Coturnix japonica: one gene and its partners. The protein of the gene in region 7 purifies or fractionates together with the protein of the main gene of each other region. This does not show direct contact. Links are inferred from orthologs where the notes say so. Each region holds a gene or a part of one and is shown on either strand. Other genes may lie near its edges.

What was found.
Region 1: the proteins of MEPCE (region 7) and LSM3 purify together in Homo sapiens (affinity purification with mass spectrometry; 3 studies listed by BioGRID and IntAct, with this or other methods). This does not show direct contact. The link is inferred for Coturnix japonica from reciprocal best matches to the Homo sapiens genes MEPCE and LSM3.
Region 2: the proteins of MEPCE (region 7) and PRPF3 purify together in Homo sapiens (affinity purification with mass spectrometry; 4 studies listed by BioGRID and IntAct, counting the BioPlex papers as one, with this or other methods). This does not show direct contact. The link is inferred for Coturnix japonica from reciprocal best matches to the Homo sapiens genes MEPCE and PRPF3.
Region 3: the proteins of MEPCE (region 7) and SART3 purify together in Homo sapiens (affinity purification with mass spectrometry; 6 studies listed by BioGRID and IntAct, counting the BioPlex papers as one, with this or other methods). This does not show direct contact. The link is inferred for Coturnix japonica from reciprocal best matches to the Homo sapiens genes MEPCE and SART3.
Region 4: the proteins of MEPCE (region 7) and METTL16 purify together in Homo sapiens (affinity purification with mass spectrometry; 3 studies listed by BioGRID). This does not show direct contact. The link is inferred for Coturnix japonica from reciprocal best matches to the Homo sapiens genes MEPCE and METTL16.
Region 5: the proteins of MEPCE (region 7) and CDK9 purify together in Homo sapiens (affinity purification with mass spectrometry; 10 studies listed by BioGRID and IntAct, counting the BioPlex papers as one, with this or other methods). This does not show direct contact. The link is inferred for Coturnix japonica from reciprocal best matches to the Homo sapiens genes MEPCE and CDK9.
Region 6: the proteins of MEPCE (region 7) and SNRPG purify together in Homo sapiens (affinity purification with mass spectrometry; 3 studies listed by BioGRID and IntAct, counting the BioPlex papers as one, with this or other methods). This does not show direct contact. The link is inferred for Coturnix japonica from reciprocal best matches to the Homo sapiens genes MEPCE and SNRPG.

The regions. Positions count from the first base shown.
Region 1 is NC_029527.1:8,367,471-8,371,683, reverse strand, and holds LSM3 (U6 snRNA-associated Sm-like protein LSm3), read right to left. Parts: upstream 3,031-4,213; 5' UTR 2,954-3,030; coding exon 2,933-2,953; intron 2,644-2,932; coding exon 2,533-2,643; intron 1,577-2,532; coding exon 1,481-1,576; intron 1,171-1,480; coding exon 1,090-1,170; 3' UTR 782-1,089; downstream 1-781. Other genes in the region: XPC (DNA repair protein complementing XP-C cells), read left to right, coding at 3,031-3,145, 3,345-3,543. UniProt on the Homo sapiens protein: Plays a role in pre-mRNA splicing as component of the U4/U6-U5 tri-snRNP complex that is involved in spliceosome assembly, and as component of the precatalytic spliceosome (spliceosome B complex).
Region 2 is NC_029540.1:1,882,350-1,884,796, reverse strand, and holds the end of PRPF3 (U4/U6 small nuclear ribonucleoprotein Prp3), read left to right. Parts: intron 1-33; coding exon 34-152; intron 153-573; coding exon 574-657; intron 658-774; coding exon 775-836; intron 837-1,128; coding exon 1,129-1,275; 3' UTR 1,276-1,774; downstream 1,775-2,447. UniProt on the Homo sapiens protein: Plays a role in pre-mRNA splicing as component of the U4/U6-U5 tri-snRNP complex that is involved in spliceosome assembly, and as component of the precatalytic spliceosome (spliceosome B complex).
Region 3 is NC_029530.1:5,666,834-5,671,362, reverse strand, and holds the start of SART3 (squamous cell carcinoma antigen recognized by T-cells 3), read left to right. Parts: upstream 1-1,596; 5' UTR 1,597-1,851; coding exon 1,852-2,019; intron 2,020-3,257; coding exon 3,258-3,384; intron 3,385-3,970; coding exon 3,971-4,075; intron 4,076-4,225; coding exon 4,226-4,410; intron 4,411-4,529. Other genes in the region: ISCU (iron-sulfur cluster assembly enzyme ISCU, mitochondrial), read right to left, coding at 21-99, 822-932, 1,266-1,379, 1,456-1,542. UniProt on the Homo sapiens protein: U6 snRNP-binding protein that functions as a recycling factor of the splicing machinery. Promotes the initial reassembly of U4 and U6 snRNPs following their ejection from the spliceosome during its maturation.
Region 4 is NC_029516.1:71,191,299-71,195,680, reverse strand, and holds the start of METTL16 (RNA N6-adenosine-methyltransferase METTL16), read right to left. Parts: upstream 2,858-4,382; 5' UTR 2,761-2,857; coding exon 2,633-2,760; intron 2,562-2,632; coding exon 2,362-2,561; intron 1,623-2,361; coding exon 1,482-1,622; intron 179-1,481; coding exon 63-178; intron 1-62. UniProt on the Homo sapiens protein: RNA N6-methyltransferase that methylates adenosine residues at the N(6) position of a subset of RNAs and is involved in S-adenosyl-L-methionine homeostasis by regulating expression of MAT2A transcripts.
Region 5 is NC_029532.1:3,652,156-3,656,737, forward strand, and holds the start of CDK9 (cyclin-dependent kinase 9), read right to left. Parts: upstream 2,956-4,582; 5' UTR 2,913-2,955; coding exon 2,821-2,912; intron 2,516-2,820; coding exon 2,434-2,515; intron 2,012-2,433; coding exon 1,921-2,011; intron 67-1,920; coding exon 1-66. Other genes in the region: SH2D3C (SH2 domain-containing protein 3C), read left to right, coding at 3,755-3,794. UniProt on the Homo sapiens protein: Protein kinase involved in the regulation of transcription.
Region 6 is NC_029537.1:791,294-794,623, reverse strand, and holds SNRPG (small nuclear ribonucleoprotein G), read right to left. Parts: upstream 1,802-3,330; 5' UTR 1,715-1,801; coding exon 1,683-1,714; intron 1,486-1,682; coding exon 1,463-1,485; intron 1,334-1,462; coding exon 1,209-1,333; intron 724-1,208; coding exon 673-723; 3' UTR 551-672; downstream 1-550. Other genes in the region: protein FAM136A, read right to left, coding at 2,705-2,893. UniProt on the Homo sapiens protein: Plays a role in pre-mRNA splicing as a core component of the spliceosomal U1, U2, U4 and U5 small nuclear ribonucleoproteins (snRNPs), the building blocks of the spliceosome.
Region 7 is NW_015439878.1:132,441-136,832, forward strand, and holds the start of MEPCE (7SK snRNA methylphosphate capping enzyme), read left to right. Parts: upstream 1-1,536; 5' UTR 1,537-1,636; coding exon 1,637-2,851; intron 2,852-3,710; coding exon 3,711-3,929; intron 3,930-4,392. Other genes in the region: ACTL6B (actin-like protein 6B), read left to right, coding at 12-107, 424-510, 602-682. UniProt on the Homo sapiens protein: S-adenosyl-L-methionine-dependent methyltransferase that adds a methylphosphate cap at the 5'-end of 7SK snRNA (7SK RNA), leading to stabilize it.

The DNA of each region.
Region 1 (4,213 bases), on a different chromosome or scaffold from region 7:
TTTTTCACCCTTGCCACAAACTAGACATGGTAAGATAGGAAGATTTTAACTGGAGGACAGTGTCAAAGCAAGCTGCTTTTGATGACTGAATACGCGTAAGAACCCAGGCAAGTTCATAAAGCTGTGTGTTAAGGTATGTCAAGAAATGCCCAAGTCTATGTCTATAATATGCCTTTCAAATATACTCGTAAAACATTCCATAGCCATTCCAAGTAAAACATTCATTCCCCTTCCAGCCCCACCATGAGAATAAAGTGCAATCAGGAAGGCCTGAGAAACTATGTATTAAAAAAAGCAGTGTACAAGGCTCTTGTGCACCCACTGATAACCAGGAAGCATCTTTGGTTTTCTACAGAATTTAATGTGTTCAAGAACTGAAAATGGCTACAAATGGTGGCAAATGAATGCATAAATCAGGCTACTAAATTTGTTTCCTACTGATGGTATTGCTAAGCTTTGCTCTGCTAACAAAGCTGCAAGAGAAGCATCTGAAAAAGCTGTAAAAATTCTATTCTATCAATGCATTTTAAGCAGGACACAGAATTTCTCTCCTACAAGGATATGTTTACATAAAACCATAGATTAGTACACCATAGACCAACACAGTGTTGCCCTCCTCCAAAACATCAATCTGGAAAACTTCAGTATGGACAAAAATCAAAACACCAAACAAGTCACTGCTTTCTCAGGAAGCAAAGCCACATTATCACAACTTAATACAGCATTAGCACTAGAGAAGTTCATTAAAATCACCTTTTCAACAAAAACATAACACATCAAATCTGAAAGGTAAACCAAATTTATTTAAAACAAACAAAAAAAGACACTGCTATTCCCAAGATTGAAAAAACAGGGTGCTTTTACTTATGTCACACACAGCTCATTTACAGCAGTTACATTAATTCAGGGGAAAATGAGGTTTTCACACTGCTTCAGCTGACAGGTACTTTCTGCAAGAAAAACTCATTCCTCTTCCACAAAAAATAGGCAAAAACGTTCTATTAAAAAGTGTATGCAATTCTGAGACATGATCAAAACAAATCGTCCAAGAGCCTGAAACCTTCCAAGAAGGTTCAATCCTTGGTTGCTTCAGCCAACCCTCAGCGGGGGAGCTACAAGCACAACGCCGTCACCTCTGACAAAGAGCATCGGAATATTCCTTTTGGTAGACTATGAAGAAGCAAAGAAAAGATTACATTTACAAAAGAGAAGTATACAGAACACATCTACTAAGCATGTGACAAAATTCAATCCTAAAAAAACACCAACAAACATCAGCTCAAACATGCAACTTCGCGTCCTGCTGAAGATATCAAAATCAACAAGCACCTGGATGTCCTTTGTGCTTTCATAACAATTTGCCTAAAACACCTGCTAGATCCTAGTCCAAAAGGTGCAGTTATCAACACATTATTTTGACAACATGACAATCTAGATTGCAAGAAGTTTTCTATGGAGGTAAATACACTGAAGTCCTTACTTTATAAATCTCTTCGTATGTTTCTTCGTCAATCTCTATTGTTGTTACAGTTTCTTCCACATCGCCCAGAATCATATTTAAGTGCTGATCATATGCCTGTAGGAACAAAGTTCATTACTTCTTCCAAAATTCAAGCACAAGCTCATTAAATCCATAATTCTAGCAAGACACTCAAACAAAATTATTTTAACCTGATTTGGGTCAAGATGTTCCATGTGTGAACATGATGTATCAGCTGTAACTTCAACTATAAAGGCCAACATCAGTACTCCACAGCATAAGGAAGGCTCTTATACTCACTGAAACTCTCCTTCTGAAGCTCATGCACAAACTCTCAGAGGTGGACACACTTGTTCTTGTCGTTAGCATTAATCCAACTAAATATTATTTGCTATCAGCCCAGATTTCTGGGATTGGATTATCTATAGCTATGAGAGCTGTAACTCAAACAACAATACATAAATTTTAATTAAGCACTTGTTCCAAACACCCTACAAAGGGAACTTAGGAATTATACCAGTGCATCACAGATCTGTCCTCACCTTTTTGTTCTCAAATGTATTTGAGGCCCAGTTACCACATGGGAAACTGGTTCCCTTCCTCAGCACAGCACCACATTCCAGAAGGATAACACAACCAAACAGAAAACAAAAGTTTGTCTCACTAAGAGACATCGCTCTCAAAAGAAAACAAAGAACAAATCAAGTATGGAGAGAACCCAGCTGAGTACACATCCCAGCAGTCCTTGGGTTTGCTCTACAAGACAGTTGCTTGATATACTTATTTCCATCTTAACAGAGTCGAGAGTCCTTTATGAGATGATGCCTGCATTATTACTTAGTCCACAGACATGGGAATAAAAGCAAAAATCAAGAGAACGAATCACTTGGAATCATTTAAAAGACAACAGACACGGAAAAACAAAATGCACCTTTTGAATCTCTGGCAGAACACTGCACAAACCAAGCGCTGCTGTTGAGCACATTACAGTAACATAACAAATAGTTGCACATAACAGCACAGCCTGCTGCCTGCTTGGAATTGGCACTCACATGCAGCCTGCCTCTGAGCTCTCTGTCATTCCTCATCTTCACATAGATCCTCTCATCCAGACTGAGCCTGATGAGGTCGAGGGGCTCCTCGACGGTATTCGTTGTCTGTTGCTGAAAACAACACCGAAACAAGCAGTTATTCACGCAGGAGCAGTGAATACGAACTCCTCCACTCCTCAGTTTGCATTCTGAAACGCTCCCTCAAGTCCCAGTATCCACACAGAAGCAGACAGGCTGCATGGCTCAAACCAACACGGCAGCACGGCATATGGCAAAGGGAAGGCACACGGATGTGCCACCAACCCACCAGCTCTCTCTTCAGGCCCTCACCACCTCACTTGGCAGCCGGGGTGGCCGCAGAAACACCGCTCCCCCCTAAGAAAAGTAAAGAGCCATTCACCTGATCCACCTCGTCCGCCATCTTTCAAACCGCTTCTCGCTCTCTCTCGTGATACTTTATGGCCCGGCCTCTTCCCCCCGCTCTGAAGGGGCGGGGTAATGCTCGCCGCTATGGCGAGGAAGCGCAAAGCGTCGGTTCAGCGGGTGTCTGCCGGCAAAAGGCGGCCTGGAGGGGTGGGAGTACGGCGGGATGGTGCGGAGGAACGTGAGGAGGGTGAGTGTGGGAGGCTCGGCTTCTGGGGCTGCTCTGCTTTGAGGGAGGGAGGCAGTCAGCATGGAGCTCAGCAGCCCCCCATGATGGGCCGGGGCTGGAGTTGTTCAGTGCAGCTCTGCTGGAGCCTGCAGAGATATTGCTATGTATCCATAGGGATGAGGTTATATCCATGAAGAAAATTTCTTTCTTTTCGATGTAGGTGATTTTGTTGAAGAAAAACACAGTGTAAAGAAGAGCAGAGCCGGAGTTGCAGCTAGGAAGAAGGAGGAAGACAGTGATGCTGGAATTGCTAAGTTAGCAGAGAAGCCTTCAAAACAAAAAGGGGTAAAAGGGCGAGTGAAAGAAAATGAGAGAGACCCTGAAAATAAAGGGGATGATCACGAAGAGGAAAAGTGCAGGTAAGCTTAGCTGTTGTTCATCATGATGCGCTCTGTACCTCACTGTGGGTTGGATGTTGTGGTTGTTGTGGGTTGGATGTTGTGGTTGTTGTGGGTTGGATGTTGTGGTTGTTGTGTAGGGTCCATTGCCCTACAATGTTCACATAAAGGGGTTACGTTAAGCTGGCAGGCCAGTTTAGTTTGTCTGTGACACACAGCTGTACAGAAGTACTGCCTGGCTGATGGCAGGATCTGTCTGAGGAAGGCAGTCTGCATGGGAAGCAAATATCTGAGCCTTTTCAAATCAATATCGTAATTGTAAGATAGCGTTTCATTTATTTCTACACAAGACTAGGGAGGTTTTATGGCATCGAGCATGAACAGAAACATTGCTGTGAGATATATGGTCTTCCTGTAGAGATTTCAAGGGGGATTGTATTAATGAGAAGAATGAAGCTGCTTGGTCTCATTTCACTGGCCAACCAAATCATTGGGTGTTAGCGTAGTGAAACACAAGCACTTCCAATCCCAGTGCATTATGAGGTCTCAGTAAAGACAAATGATTCAATGAAGACATTCATACAAGCTGTTAGGAAAGATGGGTCATTGTTTTTAGGTTCAGTCATCTTCATTCAAACAACCTGTTAGAACCAGGACCTGTGTCTGCACTGAAACGTTGTTGTTCAACGAG
Region 2 (2,447 bases), on a different chromosome or scaffold from region 7:
TCCACAAACAGCTGTTTCTTATCCTGTCCTTAGGGTCAGAAACTTGAGCAATCCAGCAAAGAAATTCAAAATCGAGGCGAATGCTGGCCAGCTGTACTTAACAGGAGTGGTGGTTCTACACAAAGATGTCAACGTGGTCGTGGTAGAAGGAGGTGAGGATTGTTAAGGCGGGTTTTGGTCACAGCATGATGTTCATAGGTTGCTTTTGCAAAGATCACCTGTGTGTGAAAATAACAGCCAGAGGATTACGGAAGAAAAAGGAAGTAAGGAGGCACTTTGAAACTCCCTTCATTTTAAGTACAGGGGAAAGCACTGCAAGCCAGATAGAAATAAACAGAACGTTTGATGTTGATGGAAAATGCATTTGATTTAAATCATTGCATCCGTTCAGAGTCCAGTGCAGTTACTCACACTTTGGCTGGAAGGGCCTGGCTGTGCTGTACTTGTGTCTGATCAGCTGAGCATGCTCTGAAAGGCTTACTTGTGTGTTTGTTGTTCTTCTGCCTTTTAAAGTCTCCTAAAAACATGAGGGTTAAGGACCTTTGTGAATGTAAGTCTCAATTCTCTCCCCAGGCCCGAAAGCACAGAAGAAATTCAAACGTCTTATGCTTCATCGAATAAAATGGGATGAACAAACATCAAACACCAAGGGAGAAGGTAAGCATTAAACCCTGTGGGGAAGGAGGTGGTAACAGATGATGTTGTAGCCATTGGGTTGGTTGAGCAGTGGTGGTTCTGCAGGACTAGAATTTGTTGTTGCTGTTTCTATTCCAGATGATGACGAGTCTGATGAGGAGTCTGTTAAGAAAACAAACAAATGCTCTCTGGTTTGGGAGGTGAGTGGGCAGAGTTCTGGTTTGCTGGGAGTTCTGGGGGCTTAGGAAAGGCACAGGTTAACCCTGCCTGATAGAATGGCTGCTTTGTATGGAAGGGAAGTCTACTGATCTGAATTGAACTGTACAGTTCTTAAGCTATAGCAGAATTACACAGTGTGGGGTAGATACTCCAAACCTCTTGCAGCAGTTGGGTTAATTGCTTGTTGACCTGTAAAAAACATTTATTCTCAGTTTTATTTCAGTTACTTTCTCCCCATAGACTTGTGGAAATGAGTCCCCTTTTCTCTTCCAGGGCACGGCAAAGGATCGAAGCTTTGGCGAAATGAAATTTAAGCAGTGCCCCACTGAAAACATGGCACGGGAGCACTTTAAAAAGCACGGAGCAGAGCACTACTGGGACCTGGCTCTGAGTGAATCCGTGCTGGAATCCACAGACTGAGGGTGATGCTGCCCCCGGCACCCCCCCCCCTCCCTTTCTTCGTTTGAGAACGAATACCTCGTGGGAACTTGAACGACCCCCTTCCTCCCCCTCCGGTCTCAGTACAGCGAAGTATGATTAAAAGAAATATTTTTTAAAGCAAATCACTTAACAATTTGTTTTTCTGGATACGTTCAGCTCCTGGAGGAGGTGTGAACCTGTTGGCTGCCCCCCCCCAAGCCCACACTGTAGGGAATCTGACCTGGGAATGTGACCTTCTATGGAAAGAATCGTTATGGAGCTGAAGGGGAGAAGTTGTTTTCTATGCTCTTTGTGTCCCTTCAGGTACGAAGGTCTCAGGGCTGTGCTGGGAGGTGTGGGGGGGCACAGGGGGTCTGTGTGGGGCAGCACAGGGGACAGGGGAGGAGCACTTGGTGTTTGTAAAGCAGAGTAGGAGACGGGGACTTAGCCCACATCCTATATTTACATAATAAACATGTTGGTTTCTTTTTGTAAAAGCTGAAGCCGCCTTCGGTTTGTGTGTGTTTATGGCAGCGTTTGGAACAGCACCCAATGGGGGGGTTTGGTGGTTTAATGGGAGTTTGGTGCTTTAAGCGAGGCTTGATCTCATTGCAGTGCTCCCTGCGAAGGGCAGCTCAGCCTCTCCCAGCTTTCTGCTCAGCTCAGCGGGCCGGGTCGGACATTATGGCCCCGTTACTTCAAGCCTCATCTTGCTTCTCTACAGCGCAGGCGGCCGCCATCTTGGCCGCGGGGCAGGCCGGGAGCGAAGCGCAATGCTTGTGGAGGGGGGTGATGCTCAATGCGCATGCGCGACGGCAGGGAGGACGGCTGGGTGGAGCGGCGCATGCGCATTGCTCAGGAGGGCGGGCGGCGGCGCATGCGCAGTGCAGAGGCGGCTGTGGTGGGGGGGGTGCCGCCGCCGAGGCCGTGTGAGGGAAGGCCTGGCACAAATGGCGGCGGGGGGGCGGGCGCTGCGCGCGGAGGGGGCCGGCGAGTGACCGAGCCACCACCGCCCCGGGGTGCTGCTGGTTGGGGGGGGGGGGGGACGAAGCGGAGACGGCTCCGTGCGGCTGCCGAACCGACCTCGGAACGCGGCCCGGCCTCTCGGTGTGGGGCCGCCTCGTTCTCCACACACCCCCCCACACCCTCCGTTTCTCCTCCCAACCCCCCCC
Region 3 (4,529 bases), on a different chromosome or scaffold from region 7:
GTGTTTGATGCTTTACTTACTAGAGCAATGCAGTTTGACCGGAGGAAGGCAAAGTTCTTTTGCAATGTCTGTGTTCTTGATTTTCAATGCTTCATCAATCTGAAATGTATGGGTAGGGTACAGTCATCAGTCAGGCATACACATGTACATATGATGCCCACACACCACGCAGGTATTTGATACAGGTGTGCTTCAAAGCACTGGAACCAACCAAAGTCACGCTCTGAGAAGGCAGTAAAAGCTGCTGATAGTGTTCTACCATAAGAAAGGCCTTTCAATAATACCTGTTTTATTCTGCTCCTGCCAAGCAACAAATCTGCAACCTACTACAGGGAACCTCCTTTGGCAGAGGAGCTGGACTAGGTGATACTCAGAGGTCCATTTCAACCCCTGATTCTATGAAATATAAGGAATGTCTCAAAGTGTGCAGTGCTTGTTAATAAACCAGAGCATTATTTTACTGCTGACCAACTGCAGGGACTGTTCCAGGTTTGTTCTGCTGTAATATAGAAACAACCTGCTTGTCACAATGCCAAGCACACGGAGATCAGCCAATGGAAGACATTCCACTATACAAGTGCTTTCTTTATCTATTTTCGATTGCTGTGTAGCACCCAAAGCTTCTTCACAGCTTATTGGAGACTTCCAGAAAAGGCAAATATTGCTTTAAAAGTCAGGAAAGATGAAACTGCATTCTGAGCTTCTATGTGAGTGTAACACCTGGAGAGCACCTCTCTAGACCCCTGTTTCCTTCCCTGATCCCAGCAGTGGGTGTGAATATGTACCTGCTCCCCACTGTGCCCCTTAAGCCAAGCCCTTACCGTCTTCCCTTTCACCCACTCTGTTGCCAAGGAGCTGGAAGCGATGGCAGAACCACAACCGAAGGTTTTGAAGCGAGCATCAACAATGCGGCCGTTCTCATCCACTTCCACCTGTGGGAGTTATCAGAGGGGCGCTCAGTTCCACGTAGGAACCACACACAAAGGGACAGCGATAGGACAGCGAGTTTAAGGCTGGGGGTTTATCGGATTTTAGGGCCTGCAGAGGGACTTTAAGGGACAATGAGTTTAAGGCTGGGGGTCTATTGGATTTTAGGATCTGCAGAGGGGCGTAAAGGGACAGCGAGTTTAAGGCTGGGGGTCTATTGGATTTTAGGGCCTGCAGAGGGGCTTAAAGGGGGTGTGACGGAGGAATCCTATGTCACAGCCATATGGTGGCAGACACTGATGGTTGTGTCCTTACAGGGCACCCCGTGCTCCCCTCACCTGCAGCTTCATAACGTCTCCACAGGCCGGGGCTCCCACCAGGCCCGTACCCACGTTCTTTGCGTTGCGATCGAGAGAGCCCACGTTCCGCGGGTTCTCGTAGTGATCCACCACCTGCGAGAACAACGTGTCACTAACAACCCCCAACGGGCACTATGGGCTCCCCACAGCCCTACCCGGCCCCTCTCACCTTCTTGTGGTAGCCCGCCCCCCCCACCGCCGTCGCCCCCCGCCCGGGCCGCAGCAGCGCCGCCCCCGCCGCCCTCAGCGCCGCCATCTTGAGTCTGCCCGCACCTGGCAGCGGCGCTCTGCCCCAACCCTCCCGAAGGACCCCTGGAGGCCGAGGCCCTGAGGTGTCCGTGGCGCTGCCTCTGCAGCAGACTAAATTATAAGGAGTAACGGGCCGAGCTGCTCGGCTTTTCGTGGCAGTTGGACGCGGAGAAGAGCAGAACCTTGTCGGGAGAGTTTATCGTCCTTTCTTTCACCGCTTTTGGCTGGGGGGAATGTACAATATTGAGACAGGCGCGCAGTAGCCAACCCCATCGGCTGGCTGAGAGCGGCCGGCAGCGAGGCGAGCTGCAACAAGATGGCGGCGGCGGGAGCCGAGGCGGCGGTGGAGGAGGAGAAGCGTGTGGTGGAGGGAGACCCCGAGTCGGGGGGGGATTCGGAGGATGAAGGCGACTCGGATTCATCAGGAGACGGCGAGGATGAGGAGAAGGAGAACGAGGCGGAGATCCAGCGGCTGGAGGAGCAGGTGGGGCCCGGCTGTACCGTGCTTTGGTTATGGAGATCTGGAAACGCCTCCGGGCGTGATGCCTTTTAATTCGCTTTTTATTCCTCGCTTCAGGGCGAGAGAGACTCAGGGAGCAGCCCTGGTATGTTGAAAGTGAACTCAGATGGTGGTTTCCTTAGTGATCTTGAAGGAATTAAAACGCGTTTGCTGAGGAGGGCTCACTGGGTGTTAGCGCTGTGTCTGTACTTGGGGGCTCTCGGGCCTTAGGGCTGTGAGTTCAGTCTTCTGCAGAACTTTAAAGCCCAGCTTTAGTAACAGGGATCTTCTATGAAGGGCTGCAGAGGTGGTCGGGGCCTGCAGCTTCTATTTGAGGAGCCCTGAGGCTGCCCTTGAGGCAGGAGGGAAGGCTGAGGGAGCAGCACTTGTCAGGGTAGAAATCGTGAAGATGGGGCCAGGTTCTTTTCAGCCATGCCCAGCTACACGATAAGGGGCAGTGGGCACAAACTGGAACCCAGGAAGTTCTATCTGAACGTGAGAAATAACTTCTTCGCTGTGAAGTTGACAGAGCCCTGACACAAGCTGCCCAGGGAGGTGGTGGAGTTTCTTTCTTTAGAGATGCTCAGGATCCACTGGGATGCTTTCTAATGCTACCTGCTGGGGGGAGGGTTGGACTGAGGGATCCTCAGAGGACTTTGCCTTTTCCTGTCACTTACAGTTCTGTGATTCTGTGTAACTGAGCAGGGAGGTGAATGTCTGTCTGTACTTGGCCCTGGTGAAGGCAAGGCATCTTAAGTGCTGCGTTTAATTTACTCACTACAGAAGAAAGGCATCAAGGCCCTGGAGCATGTCTGGAGTAGGGCAGCAGAGCTGTAAAGGGTTTGGAGTACGAGCTATATGGGGAGAGGTTGAGGGAGCTGGGGATCACAGAATTGTAGGATGGTTCTCCACTACTCCCTGAAAAGAGGTTGTAGCAGGGTGGGAGTTGCTCTCTTCTCCCATATAACAGCGATGGGACAAGAGGCAAAGGCCTTAAGTTATACCAGGGGAGGTTCTTGTTGAGTATTGGGAATGACTGCTTCTTCAAAAGAGCAGTCAGGAATTGAGACAAGCTGTCCAGGGAGGTGGTGGGATCACCATCCCTGGAGGTGTTCAAGAACTGCAGGGATGTGACACATAGAAAACAGTGTGTAAAGTTCTGTTCTGCTGAGTATTTGCTGACTTCTGCAAGCCTTTAAAAACTTCCTTTATTTTCTTTAAAGCTTTCCATCAATGCTTTTGACTACAATTGCCACTTGGATCTGATAAAGCTGCTCCGCCAAGAGGGAGAGCTGGTGAAGCTCAGAAGAGCTCGGCAGAAGATGAGTGAACTCTTCCCACTTACTGAAGGTACAGAGCTGCTTCTCCTTGCAGCTGGTAATACTGATGAAGCATCATCAGTGTGAAATACTCTTTGTGCCAGGTTTCAGCCATGCTGTTCCAGCCTAAAGGATCAGATTGAAGCTCTGAACTCAACTTGAAGCAGGCCTTTCTTTTTATTTATAGTTAACACTGTAACAATATAAATACCTGGCAGTGGGCTTTTAGCTTTGGCAAGTGAAGGTTTCCTCTTAGGCATGTGGGAACCTGCAGCCTCTAAAGCCATCTGCTGTTTCTTGTAAAAAAGAAGGAAACTGTGCCACTCAATGCCTCTTTGCTGGCCTATGTGCATTCTCTGTGCATGGTGCTGACCAATTGCTGCTCACAGCTTCATCTCTCTTTAAATAGAAGCATACTTGCTTAGGACTAGGTTGGAGACATCAGTACCAAACTTTTCATTTAAACTAATTGTGTGTAGATGCGGGGACTTAAAATTGCTCTTTTTCTCCCCATTTTCTCTATCCCCATTTTTAAGCCTGTTATTAAAAAATAACCAAAAATGTAAAGGGAAAAGTTTTTTTCCAAGCGTTGGTGACTGTAAACTTCTTGGTTTCAGAAATCTGGCTGGACTGGTTGAAGGATGAGATAAAAATGGCTTCTGAGATCTCAGAGCGAGAGAAAGTTTATGAGCTGTTTGAGAGAGCCGTGAAGGATTACATCTGTAAGTTCTTAATGTGTGGGAGTTAAAAAAACATTTAAAGGTCTATTATACTGAATAGTAAAGACAATTTCTATGCCTTTGGATAAGTATTTGAGATGCCTTTGTATTTTCGAGGACATCAGCTCTCCTGTTTCTCATAACTTTGTTTAGGTCCTGAAATTTGGCTGGAATATGCCCAGTATTCAATCGGTGGCATTGGTCAGGAAGGAGGAATTGAGAAAGTTCGCTCAATATTTGAGAGAGCATTGACAGCGGTTGGGCTGCACGTGACAAAAGGAACAGCTCTGTGGGAAGCGTACCGTGAGTTTGAGAATGCCATCCTGGAGACAGCACAGGTAAGGCTGGTCTGATGGGCTGCTGTCAGTTAGAGGCTGTGGTGGAGCTTCCGAAGTCACCTTATGCTGCTTATCAGTCTCCTTGGAGAAATGAGGCTGTGGTGTCACTCAGTTGTTTC
Region 4 (4,382 bases), on a different chromosome or scaffold from region 7:
GATACCCTCCCACTCAGTGAATACTGGAATAAGTACATGCAACTTTTAGTTTGCTAGCTTACCTTTGCTTCCAATTGGTTGGCAAAAAAAGGAGGGTTGCACATGCAGAAGTCATAAACTATCTCAGATTCTTCTTTCAGTGCATCCATAAGAAGAGTCTTCTGTGGTACCTTAACCACTAACAGAAAAGACAGATTCAGTCAGTAAGGAGTGTCATATTTTATCAAACATGTGATTTTCACTTCTGCATTTCTTGAAACAATATAAAACTTCCTTGGCAACATATTCAACAACAAAAAGCATAACACAGCATGCAAATAAAAGTTAAGGAGTAGCATACAAACAGCTTATAAGTATATCCACAGTAGTAGTGGAAGACACGTGTCTTTAAATCTACAATTAACTGCACTAAGTTCTCTGCTGCAACTATGAATGTAAAAGCTTTCATAGTTCAAATTTACAAAAGGAAAGTGGCTTATCCTACTGTTACATATGGGGTATTGATTAAAAAAAAAATGCAAGGAAGAACAAATTTTGGCAATCATCCTATTCCAATAAAATATACGCGCCAACTCAGAACATCAGGTAATTTTTTGCTACTACTTACAATCAAACTCCAAAATGGGTGTTGCTAAAATAGTAACTGGTTACAGCAGCATAATCAGCTCCAGATAAACGCTTCAGACCCGGGAATTAAGAAGTCACAGGGTGGATCAATTCCAGGAAGCTGCCGGCTACAAGTACCCATAGTGGCACTCCCTGACCTGCTGCTCTGCCCAACAGCAGTCAGTCATTTACTTATCATTTAGCTTATCACTGTAGGCACTACAGCTACACCTGAGACATCTTCCTATGCTGGAGGTATTTCCTGTAAAGTGTAACAGCACCACAGCACTAAGAATCCTATGATGGCAGCAGTTAGAGAATAAAGACATTGTTCTCCACATCAAGATCTGGATCTTCAAGACTGAAAGGGACAGGGGAAAAAATGATACTCCAAAACTCTATAAAACCCTCACTGACATTTTTCCAAGCTCCTCCACAGATAAAGCCTCACACTCTGCTACTACCACAAGCACTGTTAAGACATCATTCAGAAATGAAGAGTAAGAATTGACTCTGTACAAAGTATACGTATTAGTGTCACACACATTATTTGAGGGGAATACTCCATGTCTCCCAGCAGCAGAAACAGCAGGACTATAAGAAATGCTTCGGTAACAGAATGAAACATGGAGAGAGAAAAGCTCCCTAGGATTCAGTTTAACTTTCAGATGAGTAGCTCTTTTTCCATAGTTGCCATTCTGTACAAGCTGTAACTTTTTGCTTTAAGGGCACATGGACCATAGCAAACACTCTGCCAGTAAAAACAACGGAGCACGTATTAGCAGGAGTACTGGTTCTGATATGCCACTTGAATATGGCAAAAAAAAAACAGGTCACAACATCTGTATGCTACTAAATTGCCTATTATATCATACCTTTTATAAGATCAGACAAGTTATTCTGTTCCACGTTCTTCTTGGCATAATTGAAGCACATATCATCCACTTCTGTTGCAAGAAAATACCAGCCATTCAACGTTGATCCAAGTAATGGGTATATACATGATGCCCCTGTCCCTGCAGTGTGAAAAGCATATGAAGAAAGCAAAATAAGTCTCTAGCGTTATACACAGCAGTCATGCACTTTAAACAAAAAGAATTAATCTCAAGAAATCACTGCCCAACAATCATCCATTATTCAGTTCTTTAGCAAATCATTTTAAGAAGTAATTTAAAATATGGTACTGTGAAAGATGCACTATGAATAGGGAGCACCACACTCCTTGCTAGCATACGTTTGCTACTGAATTATCAACTTCTTCAGCAATTTTCCCACATATGACAATGTTTTATACAGAGAAAGAACTCGGTCTTACTTGCTTTGCATGTGCGTGTATATGCACATTTAATTGTTACTGTAATTACTGTTCTATTTTCCTTTTCTGGCCTAGTGAACACTTTTTATCTCAGCCTGAGTTCTGCCTTTTATCCCCCAATTCTCCTCCCCATTCCACAACAAGGGGGAGTGAGCAAAGGGCTGCACGGTGTTCAGCTGCTTGCTGGGTTAAAACACAAGCCACAGAAGAAGTAATTTACCAAAGGATCCCAAGAAAGAGTTACTATGCAACTCACAAGCTCTCATGCATACATCTAAAACACTAACATAACTCAGAAGACAGTAACTTAGAAGACAGAGAAAAAAATACAACTAACTTCCCACACATTTTCTTTCCTCAAAACTACTGAGTTGAGTTCATTAGCTGTAAGTAACGGGCTAATTAAACACTTGGCCCTATAACCAGCCCGCGGTAAGTACCTATGTCAATGCCCCGCCTGAGCACTCCCTTGTCAGCACCCTGATGGCCAATGAGATCCTCCACCCAGTGGATGTAGTTCAGCCTCAAGGGGACGGTCGGGATGAGCCTTTCCAGGGGGATGTCAATGGTGAGCCCAAAATCCTCCTTCAGAAGGGTACACGTCAGGGCTCTCACCGCCTCGGGGTCCTTGAAGTTCAGGCTGAAACACAAACAGGCGTTACCTTGGGGCCCGGCTCGGAAACCCGCCCCCCCTCCGCCCCGGCCTCCTACCTCACCCTGCCGGCCAGTGTGGTGTGTACGTGCTGCCGGAACTCGGGGTACTTGCCGGCCAGGTAGGCGAAGTCGGGCGGCTTGTCCTTGTAGCGGTTGCGTGAGTGCATCGACTTGTTGAGCGCCATGGCGGGAGCAAAGAGCCGCCCGCACCTCAGCGGGGCCCCACCGCAACGCTTCCCGGCACGCACCGCGGGCAGCCGGGACCTACCAATGGCGGCGGGAAGGGGGAGCTGTGAGGGGACGGGGACCGGGAGGGGAAACACGGAGGAAAAATCCCACCTTCCTTAAGGTGGCTGTCGAAGATCAGAGCTGCTTCTGATTGGAAGTATTTACTGTAAGTTACTTCTAAACACGTCTAGAGGGCGAGCGAGGAAAAGCGCTGCATGAAGCAAAAGGCTGTGGGTTGGGTGTCGTGATGCTGAACGGTCACCAGGCGGGAGAAGAGACCGTGGGATAGAAGAGACCATGGAATAGAAGACTGGAAACCTCATAAATCACTACCTGAGATAGGCGTGTGTATGTGTTAATTGTCTCATGTGTAATTGATGAATATGTACTATCTGTGGAAATATAATGGACTCTGAATCATGTAATCTTTGAAGCACTTATGGTGGAAATATCCCCAGCGCCACTAATAAAGAATACCTGGCTTAATGGTAACAAAACTTTGCCGTTCAGTTTCTATGCACTGATTTTTTAAGCATTTCATTGGCCAGTGAAATGCAATGGTATTTCATTTCCATGTGACAGGAGGAACTTACTGAGTACGGTGTGTTGCTTCCTTGGATAACCCGGGTAAAAACATACTTCAGCAGGAGTAACATTAAAGTGTAATTATTATTATTCTTTTATATATTTTTATCCTTGTTAAACCTCCAAATGCTTGCGTGTTGTTTCAGAATTCAACACGTAGGCATCCCATTGGACTCTCAACTGTGTGAAATGACTTGCAGCTGGATTTGCTTTCAGTCCTAGGTCCTGCCCTCACAGCTGCCTGTGTCCTAAGGGACTAATGTTTATTCTTTTTAACACACACCTTTTTGACCAGAGCAACATCCCAGCTCACTTCCAGCCCACCCTTCCCACTTCTGGAAGTCATTCTCCACCCTCTGCCCCCACCCACAGTCGAAGAAGTGAAGCTGATACAGACAAAAGCAGAATGGAGGCCGAGTTAAAAATATGAACTTTAATTTGGAGCACTTAGTGTATTTACAGTAGAAAGGTTCTCTCTAGTCAAAGGATGACAGATTCTAAAACAAAATCCACATTCACAAACATGTGGACCTGCACCTGATGCAGGCTAATTGCTTTTTGCTACTTCTGCTTCACTCAGGGTAACAGCCGTGAGAAAACCCCGGTGTGAGCTTGTAGATGGAATCAGATGGTTCTTACACCGAAGTAGCACATACACAATGGAGTCCAGAAAGTAGTGTGAAGTTATCCAACAGCTGCTAACAAATGACTCATATTAATGAACGTATACGCAGTCCCATTTGCAGCTACGTCAGATTCAGTGAATCATTATTCAGGGAGAGACAGGCAAGCAGACACAAGCCTACCAACCTGTGTGCAAGCACGGATTTGCAGGGACACTCACTGCCAGGTACAAAGGTACCTCCTCACCCACCCAGACACGTGCATTCTTTTCCACTCTGCACTAGGACAAACATACAGGCGTGTGTTTTGTTAATGCTGTCTTACACGGTTTCTACACGCAAAAGAAACTTTAGAAAAAGCACCAACCCTT
Region 5 (4,582 bases), on a different chromosome or scaffold from region 7:
CCAGGTCGTGCTCACAGAAGTCAAACACCAGGTAGATACTGCCCTTGCAGCGGTTGTATGGAGAGGCTACAGGAGAGGCAAAGAGGAACAGTCAGCAAGGGATTTAGTTCCTCCTGACCTCCATCCATCCTCACTCACTAGGTGAAACCTCACGGCAGAGGAACATCAAAACAGGGACTCCAGATGCCTCAAGAGCCTTCAAAAAGAGGTATTAAAACAGCAAAACAAGCAACAGTGGATGAGGATCAGAGTGGTAGTGAACATCATGAGAAAGGCAAAGCAAGAGCAAAAAAGTCTTTGAAAGCTTCATTTGTGTGTTGTGCTGCGTGTATTAACAGCTGTGGGGTTTTGTGCCTACAAACTGCAGCCCGTGGGTGCACACACACAGCTGACAGCCGAGCACAATCATTGCATCAGCATTAGAGGAGGAACAGGCAAAGACAGACTCACAGGAATACAGCAAATATTTCTAAAGCAACATCAGAAAGTGAAGTTTACTGCAACCTCAAATGGTGTCTATGAGAACAGACTGATGCAGATCAATATGATTTAAAACCCCAACTTCAATTGCAATTTATGGTCAATGACAGGAAACCTCAAATGAAGCAATCAATTTCAATCTTGCTCCTAGAGCACACGTGCAAAACACCAAAACAAAAGGCTGATTTTGATCAGCTGTGCACAGCAAAACCTGCTGATCAGCAGCAAGAACCAGAAAATGTGGGCTAAGCTCAGCCTGCACAGTAAATGCAGCCTGGAGGATGCTTTCTAGATTGCACATGACAGTGGTGCCGTCCTCACAACCCCTCTTCCAACATAAAAAGAGAAAAGCTTAAAGTCTGAGAACAGTCAATGAAATGTTTCTGTTTTTCACTTGAATCTGAGGTCAAGGTAGAAAAGTAGAATTTAAACAAGACCCAAACAATCTGACACAGCTACAAAAATATTGACCTGAGACGTGCCAGCAGCATGCAGTCATCACAGCTGGTTTAATCAATCCAAGAATTAAACATTAACTCAGTGTTTTTCCTCCTACCTACTGGTTCAAAAACCGACAGTTACCTACATTCTATGGAGCAACACCAAGTTCCCAGACCTAGGCCTGAGATTCCTACCAGTTGAGTGTAAAAAACAGCAGCAGAAAGGTGCTATTATCAATTGTATTTAACCAAAAAGAACTGACTACAGCATGGCAGGCTTTAATATCATCTGTCGCTTTCCAAACCTCTTTTGCAGTACAAATCCATATAAGAGAAGGATATATAAAAATGAGGAAATGCTTTAAAATGATTTCCCTGGAAACTGAGCCTGGCCAGGTGCATTAAGCACATCAGTCACACAGCAGAGACGTGCTGCCTCCCCCAGGGACTGCCTGCAGCGATGAGATGGAACAGCAGCTCAGCACAGAGCAACTGAATTGCTCACTGTGAAGTGGCAGCACTTCCAATCCAGCCCTCAAAGCCTGGGGGGTTCTGTCATGCACAGGAGAGGCTGAGCAAGTCTCCAGCTGGAGCTGTCACCAGCACAAAGCTCCACGAGCTGCAGAAACACGGCTCCTGCTCCCAATGGCATCAGCATCATAAAGCTGCAAAACCACCACCAGGCAGAAAACGTTCTGTTTCACATTCTCTCCTGCTGCAGGTTCATTTAAAGCCATTCAGCCAGCACACAGACAGCAGTCACTGAGACAGCACAGGCATGTGCCAGCAGCACTGACAACAGCTTTTTCCAGCCAAGCTGCAGCACAGTAGCACTCATTCAAAATGAGTTTCCACAGATGAGCGTGTGGTCACCCCAGATTAAACACATGCTCAGCTGGAGGATCCACCCCCAGTGCAACACAGCAGCCTGCTGAGCCAAGAACAAAGGCTGAAAACAGACACCCCCTCAGCACAGCACAAATGAGACCCCGGCAGCTACCTTTGGTCCTACAGATTTCTATGAGGTTCACCACATTCTCATGCTTCAGCAGCTGGAGGATTTTAATCTCTCGCAGAGCTGTGATGGGGAACTGGAAAGGAGAAGACACAGGTTAGGAGTGCAGCTCACATCTGCTTATAGAACAGGAGAGATTGGACTGCTGCAGCACAGGACACCTGCTTGAGTAGCACTGCAACAGCTCATTTAAGAGTAATTGAAACTACAAAACATTACAGGGGCGACAAAACTCATTGGCCACCCTTAGGATTCTGCCACAAGGTGGAGGTGTTTGTGTGACATGGACACCTGCCCTCCTTTCCCATCTATGAGCACAGCACATGGCAAAGCCCCAATTGACCCACAGCACAACCACCCCACCCCCATGTGCTGTGTGCTGTTACTCAAGACCTGGCACGTTACAGCAGTAAACACCATTAAAGTTAATACACACTGATGTTCCATAGCCCACCCCCCACCCCATCCCCTCCATAGCACAGCACAGCTCACACCTACCCCCTCCTTCTCGTTCTCCATCAGCACCTTCTTCAGCGCCACCTTTTTCCCCGTCTGCCGGTGTTTGGCTTTGAACACCTCCCTGTAACAACAAGAAGAGACCCATGTAACAACAAGGACCCATATAACAACACGGAGAGACCCACGTAACAACAAGGACCCACGTAACAACAACAAGGACCCATATAACAACACGGAGAGACCCATGTAACAACAACAAGGCCCCATGAGCCCCATAAGGAGGAGGCCGAGGCCCGCAGCCCCCACAGCACAAAGGCCCCGGGTCAGGCCGCGGCCTGTTCCCCATGACGCTGAATAACAGCAGATAATCGGCCCCATAGGAGCCATGCCCGGGCTGGGAGCAGAGCCGAGGCCCGCAGCGCTCACCCGAACGTGCCCTGCCCGATCTTGGCGAGCTTCTCGTACTTGGACACCTCATCGCAGAACGGGCACTCCACCATGTCGTACTGCTTGGCCATGCCGGCCGACGGCTTCACTTCCGCCCTCTCGCCTTACGCTATTTCCGGCGCGCCGGCGCGCTGCCTGCTGGGATTTGTAGTCCACCTTAGGCCGCCATGTTGTCACCCCGGATAAACCCGTATCACCCTGCGGCTTTATGGCTGTCTATAGCTGTGTGCCCGCGTTCCCTCCCTCACAGTGTCACCCACATAGGAAGGGCCGTGGCCATACAGGGACACTCCATAGGACAAGGCCCTGGGGCTGCCCACCAGCTCTGGGCCACTGCATCCCCCATAGAAATGACCCCACAGACAACACAGCTCCACCAGCACATGGTGCAGTGGGGCCTTGGGGCTCCACCATGGAGCTGAGCCCCATATGGGGACCTCCAGCCATGGAGCTGCCAGCCTGCCCCATGCCGGCACCCAGCCATTCAAGGGCGGCCCTAAAGCACATTAATCCCATTAATGGCACCTGAGCAGCCAGGAGGGGACTGTAGGGACAACAAGGGATGGGACTGCAAGGATCACAAGGGATGGGAGCACAGGGACAGCAAGGGATGGGACTGCAGGGACAATATGGGATGGGAGTGCAGGGATCACAAGGGATGGGAGTGCAGGGACAACAGGGGATGGGACTGAAGGGACAATAAGGGATGGGAGCACAGGGACAATAAGGGATGGGACCGCAGGGGATAGCGGGGACAGCAGCTGCCATAAGAGCAGATGGCAGCAGCGAGGAGGAAGCGCTGAGTGATTGAGAGAGCAAAGCGAGAGGCGGAGGGGGGACAGGAAGGGAGGAGCAGGCAGGGACAGGCTTCAAGTTTATAAACTTGTCCCTGCAGCCTCCACCCAGCACAGCCATGGCTGAGGGCCAGAAACGAGGGGGCTTCAAGAAATTCAGTAAGTCGTATCGGGATGGAGGGGGTGGGTGCTGGGTGCTCACCTGGGCTGGCGTGGGTGGGAAGGGGGTGTGTGAGTGTGAGCGTGGTCACCTCTCATTAGCAAGAAGTCTTCAGTTTTGTTAGGAAACTGGGGGCTCTGGGGGCTTCCATCCCCACAGCTGGAGCAAACCCTGGTGCTGATGGCTCTGGTGCTGGGGTTGGACTGGGAGCAGTCTGCTTGCACTGGTTGCCAGCATGTGACAGGGGTGAACCATTGCTCTGATCCCCCAAATCACAGCTTTCAGGGAGCATTTACCCCTCTGCATGGCTGGGGCTGGTGGTGTCCAGGAGCCCTCTGTGTGCTCCTGCAGCAGAGGGATGGGGTGGATGCTGGGGATAAATCTGCACTGATGGAGCCGCGCTCGGGACCGAAGCGGTGGGAGCTGAGCACAGAGGAAGTGCTGCTGCCCACCAGGAGGGAGCTGAGCTCTTTCTCACAGCCCTCGGGTTTTCCCCAAAGCCCTCGGAGGAGGCTCCATGGGGCTGCACGCCGCCAGCGCTGCACTGAGCAGGACATTGCCTTCACTGCTGCTCCCCGCATTCCTCTGCCTCCATCATGCTGATGCCGGCGCCGGAGGGAGGCCGACCCCTGAGCTCCCCCGGGAGCTGAGCAAAACCCATCTCCCACGGCCCCGGCCAAGCTGGGATTTTCCATTGTGGTGGAATGCGGGGGAAATGGGGAAGGCCCCCAGCTTTCCCACCCTGCAGCAGCCTCAGATGCAGAGGATGCTCGGATGCAGAGGGGAT
Region 6 (3,330 bases), on a different chromosome or scaffold from region 7:
CCTGTACCAGCAAGTTGTGCTTGCTTAGCTCAAACTCCCACTAACAAGCCTCCACTAGTGTAGCCTCACTCTTGCTGTGCTAGAAAAGATGAATGCACTTGATTAAAGCTAAATTGCAGGACTTGCACTGAGATTAGCAGCATCACAGGAGTCCGTACGTGCTGGAACACGATTCAACTCTTAGAAGCTTGCTGGTACCCTGGGGTCAATGCTTTGTTCTGTCTGCTTGGGGGCAATGAGAATAACCAAAACCACTTTTGCCTCAGCACAGAGGTGGAGACCAGCACAAAGTTGCAGGCAAACACTTGAGCAGGACAGATATTTCAGTCCCCTTCACTCTTTACAGAGCAATGCTAGGAATAGAAGTGCCACAGCCTGTTATTTATGGGGGGGGGTTTAAAGATATAGCCAGTATCATTTGAACACCCACTCAAAGAAATAAAGCTGCCTGAAAGCCATCCTCCAGCTTTAAAGCTGCCACTGACACACTGCTGCACTCACAAGATTAACTGCCCCAGGCTTCAGTTCCACCAAGCACAGCTCACACGGGTTACACCAACCAGTACAAAATTTATTTAACAAAAAATAAGCTTACACTTGTGGTTGCTTCATTAGGTTCAGGTGAGTAAACAAAACACAACGGGGTCGGGTCACTACAGGGTTCCTCTGCCACTATACTCGTTCCAAAGCTTCCAGCATAATGATGCTGTTTCCTCGTATTACCTACAAAGAGAAGTTGTCAGCAGGAGGTGAGATGAAGCACGTTATGCCCACAGCACAGAAGGTTTTCTTTCCCTTTGACTTTTCCTCCTAGAAAGCTGCATGGCATGTGCAGCTCCAAGAGCTGAAGTGAATGAGAGAACTGCAGGGGCTCATGGCAGCAGTCAGCCGGCTGGAAAAGGCTCCTGCAGGAGGGTGGTTGATAGAAAAGGTGGATGAGAGCTTGATATAAGACAGCAATGTATTCTTGTGACCTCACAGCCAGCTGGGCTGCCACCCCTCTGTTACTGCAGCAGACACGGAGGGCTCTGTCCCATCCTGCTCTGCCCTCCTGAGGCTGTTCCCCATTCCTAGAGGTGCCCAAGGCCACGGATGGGCACTGGGAGGCCTGAACTGAAAGGAAGCCCCCAGCCCAAAGCCCAAAGCCCAAAGCCCCCAGCCCAAGGCACAAAGTGGGCCTGGGGGCTGCCATCCCCCCCAGCACTCACCACCATCCCGATGTTGTTCTGCTGCCCTCCAGGCGCCATCTCCACGCACTCATCGATCACCAGGTTCATGAAGGGGTCGAAGCCCCGTAGGATCCCCTGCACGTGGCGGCCGCCATTTAACTTCACTACGAGAAACCGGCTCATTCAGAAACAAGGGGAGGGGGGGGTTAAAAGGGAAGGGAGGGATGGGGGGGGGGGGGGGGCTTTGTGAATGTGGGCTCATGGCACAACCCCGTTATAACAGCGGGACTCACACGACAGCTTCTTGTCCATGAACCTGCAACGAGAGCGCAAACAGAGCAGGCCGCATCAGTGTGGGGTCGGGACCGCCATCATTGCGGGCCCAACCGGACCCAGACCGAACCCGAACCGGACCCCACGGCCCCTCCCGACCCTCTGGGCCCCCCTCATCCCCTTCAGTCCTCCCTTATCCCCCCTCATCCCCCCTCATCCCCATGTTGGCCCAGCTCTCACTTCTTCAGCTCGGGTGGGTGCGCTTTGCTCATGGCGTCTCCTCAGCGCCGCTGCCGCTCGCGCCGCGTAATGACGTCATCACGTCGCACGCTACGCCCAAAGCCCCGCCCCCTTTTCCCGCCAACCTTCGCATCTCGCCGGCAGCCAATCAGAGCGCTCGGACGCGGCGCGCGTGCGCGTTTGGAGCGGCCCCCATGCAGCACGTGCATGGAGACCTGCAGCTCTGCTGCATTGCATGCACCGCGCATTGCACACCCACTGTATGCACGGCATTGCACACACACAAAGGCACTGATACACGTATTGCAAGCCCTGCACGGCTCACCGTGCACACCTTGCACAGCCATCGGCTCACAGCTGGCAGTGTGCACCCTTTGCACACTGCACCCTTTGCACACCCTGCACCCTTTGCACACCCTGCACCATTTGCACACCCTGCACCATTTGCACACTGCACCCTTTGCACACTGCACCTTTGCACACTGCACCTTTGCACACCCTGCACCCTTTGCACACCCTGCACCCTTTGCACACCCTGCACCATTTGCACACCTGCACCCTTTGCACACCTGCACCCTTTGCACACTGCACCTTTGCACACCTGCACCCTTTGCACACCTGCACCCTTTGCACACCCTGCAACATTTGCACACTGCACCCTTTGCACACTGCACCCTTTGCACACTGCACCCTTTACACACCAGCACCCTTTGCACACAGTGCCCCACACCCTGCAGAAGCACTACCCCACACCTTGCACACCTGCACACACCTTACGCAGCCATCACCCCACACTTTGCACACCTGTACCCTATCTATACACTGCACATTTGCATGGCTCATCCCACCCCCTATACACTGCACAGCCATCACCCCATACTTTGCACACACCCACCCCATACATTACACAGCCACCACCCCACACCTTGCACCCCCACACCCCAAACCCCCAGCACCCCTCGAGCACCACGAGTGCAGCTCCTTGCCTTTAATACCACCTTCCCCCACCCCAACAGCACCCGCTAGTGCTGTAGGGCCGCCAAGCCATCCCGCATCCTCTTGGCCATGCCTGGCACCAGGCGTAGGTGCTCGTCCCCACAGGCAGCAACGCAGGCGTCGAGCTGGGAGCGTGCCCTTGTCTCCCCACCGCCCGCCTCCAGGGCATCCTTGGCTCTGTCAGAGCAGTGCAGCGTGCAGCGGCTCAGGCGGTCCTGCAAGGGGATAAAGGGGCATAGATCAGGAGAGTGATAGAACCACAGGGGTTGGAAGGGACCTCTGGGGCTCCCCCATGGTGATAAGCATTGACTGGATCCCCTCTCAGCCTCTGCAGGTGAACAGCCCTCGGGGCTCTCAGCCTTCTCCCATCAGGGGATGCTCCTCCAGGCCTCCACCATCTCTATGTCCCTACATCAGCTCCCTGCCTGGAGCTGAGCAGCCACAGCTGGACCCAGTGCTGCAGATGCGGCCTCAGGGCAGAGCAGGAGCACCTCCCTCACCCTACTGGCCACGCTCTTTTTAAAGGACCCCAGGGTCCAACTGGTCTTCATGGCCACCAGGATGCACTGCTGGCTCATGGTCAGCCTGTGGGCAATCAATGGTCAACTGTTGGTCAGCCATCGGTCAACTGTTGGTCAACCATTGGTCAACT
Region 7 (4,392 bases):
GCCTCCTGCAGGGTCTCTATGGCAGCGTCATTGTCACGGGGGGGAACACTTTGCTGCAGGGCTTCACCGACCGCCTCAACCGGGAGCTGTCACAGAAGACCCCCCCGGTGAGTTGATGGGAGCCCCCCAATGGGAGGCGGCTTCTGGGCTCCCAATACATCCAGTGCCCCCCCCCAGCGCCTCCCAGTTCCCCCCCAGTTCCACCCACTCCTTCCCAGTGTCCACCAGTCCCTTCAATCCCGATTGACCCCCCAGCACCCCCGATCCCCCCCCACTGCACCCCATTCCCTCCCCTATAGCCCCCTATTGCCCCCCAGTCCCTCCCAGTGTCCTCAATCCCCATTCCAATCCCTCCCAGTATCCCTTTTAGTGCCCATCCTGGTACCCCCCATTCCCTCCCATTCATTCCCCCCCCTCACACAGAGCATGCGCCTGAAGCTGATCGCCAGTAACAGCACCATGGAGCGGCGCTTCAGCCCCTGGATCGGGGGCTCCATTTTGGCCTCCCTTGTGAGTTGGGGGCGATACAAACAACGTGGGGGGGGGGCAGCGATTTGTGCCCCCCCATCTCCCCCCCCCCGACCCCTCCCCATGTTCCCAGGGCACGTTCCAGCAGATGTGGATCTCCAAGCAGGAATACGAGGAGGGGGGCAAGCAGTGCGTGGAGCGGAAATGCCCCTGAGCCCATTAACCCTCGTTAACACGGAGCGAAAGAATGAGGAGAAAATAAACGGAACCGGAGCAAAAAGAGCCGATAAATGGAACCCCCCCCCCCAGGCCTGGAGCTGGGCGCAGGCCTCGATAGGCCGCACTGCTGTGAATGGGGGCTCAGCGCCTTCACAGCGGCACAGGGAGGGGCCTGGAGCCGCCTGGGCGGTTGGGGCCGGGGTTGTGGCCGCTGTTATTTCGGTGACATCTTTTTTTTTTACCAAAATCGCCCGTTTTTCCCTCAAAACGCGGCCTCGCGCCTCCGCTTTCCCTCCCGCCGCGGGAGCGCGCTCAGTGCGCACGCGCTTCCCCCTCAGCGCTCCGCGCCACATGTGCGCATGCACGACGCACAGAGGGCGCCCCACTGCGCATGCGCGGCGCGCCGAGGCTGTGCGCATGCGTCACGTGCGCGCGCCGACGGGTGACGCGTGCGCCGTGTGCACCCGGCGTCTGCGCACGCGCATTGGCGAAAGGCAGCCGCTCTGCCGCCCGTGCGTCCCGCGCTGCGCCGTCACCGTCCGGGATAACGGGGAGCAGCGTCGGCCGCGGCCAGGAACGGCCGGGAGCCCAGCTGCCGCTGTAGCTTTTCGTTCAGGCACCGCCGTGGACAGCCCAGAACCGCAAGGCCCCCGCGAGGCCCCCGACGCGCTGTGCAGCCATTGGTCGCTACCCCCCTCTTCCGCGCGCCACTTCCTCCCATTGGCCGCCGCCCACTCCGCCTCCTACCGATTGGCGCAGCCCTCCGTCCGCGCGCCACACGCCATTGGCCGTCTATCGGTTGGGGGGCGGGGCCCGTCGTGGCCCCGCCCCTCGGCTATATAAGGAGGCGCAGGGTGCGACTCGCCTGCCATCGCGGGAGGGAGGTGGCGCGCGCCGCACCGTCCGGCTCCGGCTCGTTGGACTCGGCGGTGGGCGGAGCGGCCGGGCCATGATCGAGATGGCGGCTGAACCCGACGCGTTCCGGGCCCCTCCGCCGCCTTTAAGGACCGGAGAACCACCGGGGGGGGGCGGGCCTGCACCGGGCGGCACCGACACCACCGGGCCCCAGCGGCGGAGGGGACGGGAGGAAACGGACGGAGCGGGGGAGGCCCCGAGACCCAGGAACGGCTTCAGAGCGACCGGAGGAGGCGGCGGGGGGGGCGGAGGGGGGGGAAAACGGCGGAGCAGCTGCACCGGATCCAAACAACCGCCGTGGAAACGGCGCCGGAGAGCGACGTCGGAATGTGACCCCGCGCTGCCGTCCGAGTTCCTGCTGGGGGGGAACATCTTCGACCCGCTGAACCTCAACAGTCTCCTGGACGAGGAGGTGAGCCGCACGCTGAACGCACGCACCCCGCAGTCATCACCGCTACCGGCACGAGGACGGGACCCCGTGGAGATCCTCATCCCGCGGGACATCACCGACCCGCTCAGCCTCAACGCGCCCGGGGGGGATGACGGGCTCCGTCTGGCATCACCTGCCAAAGCAACGCGACGTCGGCATCGCCACCGGGGTCAGCAACGGGGGAACAGCACCAACAGCACCAACAATAGTATGGAGCCAGAGAGCAGCACGGAGCACGGGAACACGGCCAGCAGCAGCACCAACACGGCTGGAAACAGCAGCACAACGTGCTCCAACAGCCGGCACCGTAAGAGGAGAAGGACTTGTAGTAAATCAGAGGCCGCCCGATCTACGGCGTCACCGGAGAAAGGGAAAGGGGGAAACAACGGCCCTAAAACCCCCACGACGGCCCCACGGCGCCGCAAGAGCCAGAAGTTCCAATATGGGAATTACTGTAAATATTACGGCTATCGCAACCCGGATTGCGAGGACGGGAGGTTGAAAGCCATGAAGGCCGAGTGGTTCACCGGGAAGGAGGTGCTGGATGTGGGGTGTAACGTGGGGCACGTCACGCTCAGCATCGCCAAGAGGTGGGGGCCCAGCAGAGTGGTGGGGCTGGACATTGACGGGGCCTTGATCCGCTCGGCCCGGCAGAACATCAGGCATTATCTGTCCGAAGAAATGGCCGCCGTGGAGGGAGGGGGGAGGAAGGGGTTCCCTGCGGCGCTGCTGGCCAGCAGGGGACCCATCGCTGCCCCACGGCTGCCCCCCGACGGGCCCGGAGCCTCCGACTTCCCCCATAACGTCGTGTTTGTCACGGTGAGGGGGCGGGGCTAAAGGGAGGGGGCGGGGCTAAAGGGAGGGGGCGTGGTTTGGGGGTGGAGCCAATCGGAGAGGCGGGGCTAATGGGCAGGGGCGGGGTTTGGGGCGGAGCCAATTAGAGAGGCGGGGCTAAAGGGAGGGGGCGTGGTTTGGAGGCGGGGCTAAACGGAGGGAGCCTGGTTTGGGGCGGGGCTAAAGGGAGGGGGCGTGGTTTGGGGCGGAGCCAATTAGAGAGGCGGGGCTAAAGGGGGGCATGGTTTAGAGGCGGGGCTAAGGGGAAAGGGCGTGGTTTGGGGCGGGGCTAACGGAAGGGGTGTGGTTGGGGGCGTGGTTAAGGAAAGGGGGCGGGGTGTTGGGTTGGGGCGGGGCTAAAGGAAGGAAGCGTGGTTAAAAGAGTGACATAGAGTGAATGGGCGGGGCTAAGTTTGGGGGCGGGGCTAAAGGCACAGCAGGTTTAAGGGGCGTGGTTAAGGGCGGGGCTAAAGGGGGCGTGGTTGGGGGGTGGGGCTTTACAAGGGGTTTGATTTTAATATGGGGTGTGGCTAAATGAAAGGGGTGGGGCTAAAGGAGGGGGTGTGGTTTGGGTTGGGGTCAATAAATGGGAAGGTGACACAGTTGGGGTGGGGGTAAATAGGGGGTGTGGCTAAAGGGGTGGTGCCGATGGAAGGGGGTGGTGCTTTGAAGGGGCTGTGATTAGGATGTACATGAAGGGGTGGGGCCACTCCCCCTTTTCTAAGTTCAATCCCCATCGTTTTTGAAGATCTCCTTTAATCTGTTATTTAACCCCCCCTACCCAGTCTCTTCCCCATTGCCATGAGACCCCTCCTAACCTCTCTCCCACCCATCCACCCCATAGGGCAACTACGTCCCCGAACGAGAGGAGGCGGTGTGGGCCCAGCGCCCCGAATTCGACGTCCTGCTGGTTCTGTCCCTGACCAAATGGGTGCAGCTCAACTGGGGGGACGAGGGGCTCAAAAGGTTGTTCCGTCGGGCCTACAGACACCTCCGGCCTGGGGGGCTGCTGCTGCTGGAGCCACAGCCATGGGCTTCCTACCGCAAGAGGAAGGGGCTGACGGTGAGATGAATGGGGTTATGGGGCACCAATGGGGGACTGGGGGGGATATGGGGGTTGGGGGTGCGGGATGGGGGTCTGCTCTTGTCTGTGGGATGGGTCCAGCTGTGAGCCTTTGGTTGTGGGACCCCTATAACCCTCCCCAAAGTCCCCAGCTGGACTGTGGGAACCTCCCTCAGAGCCTTCAGCTCTTTAAGATCTTCCCACCCATATCCTCCCAACCCCCTCATTGGAGCCCTATAACCCTCCCCCCAAATCCCCTTAACTCACCAAGACAACCCCCCCCAATCCTCCACTGCAGCCCCATAATCCCCCAAACCCCGCTCCAAAAGCCCCAGATCCCTCTCCTAATTCCTTCCAACACCCCATTGCCCCCACAGAACCCCTTATAACCTCCCCTCAGCTCATAGTTGGGTTATGGGGCCTTTAGTTGTGTGGCCCCCTCCCCATTTTAACCCTCTCCACC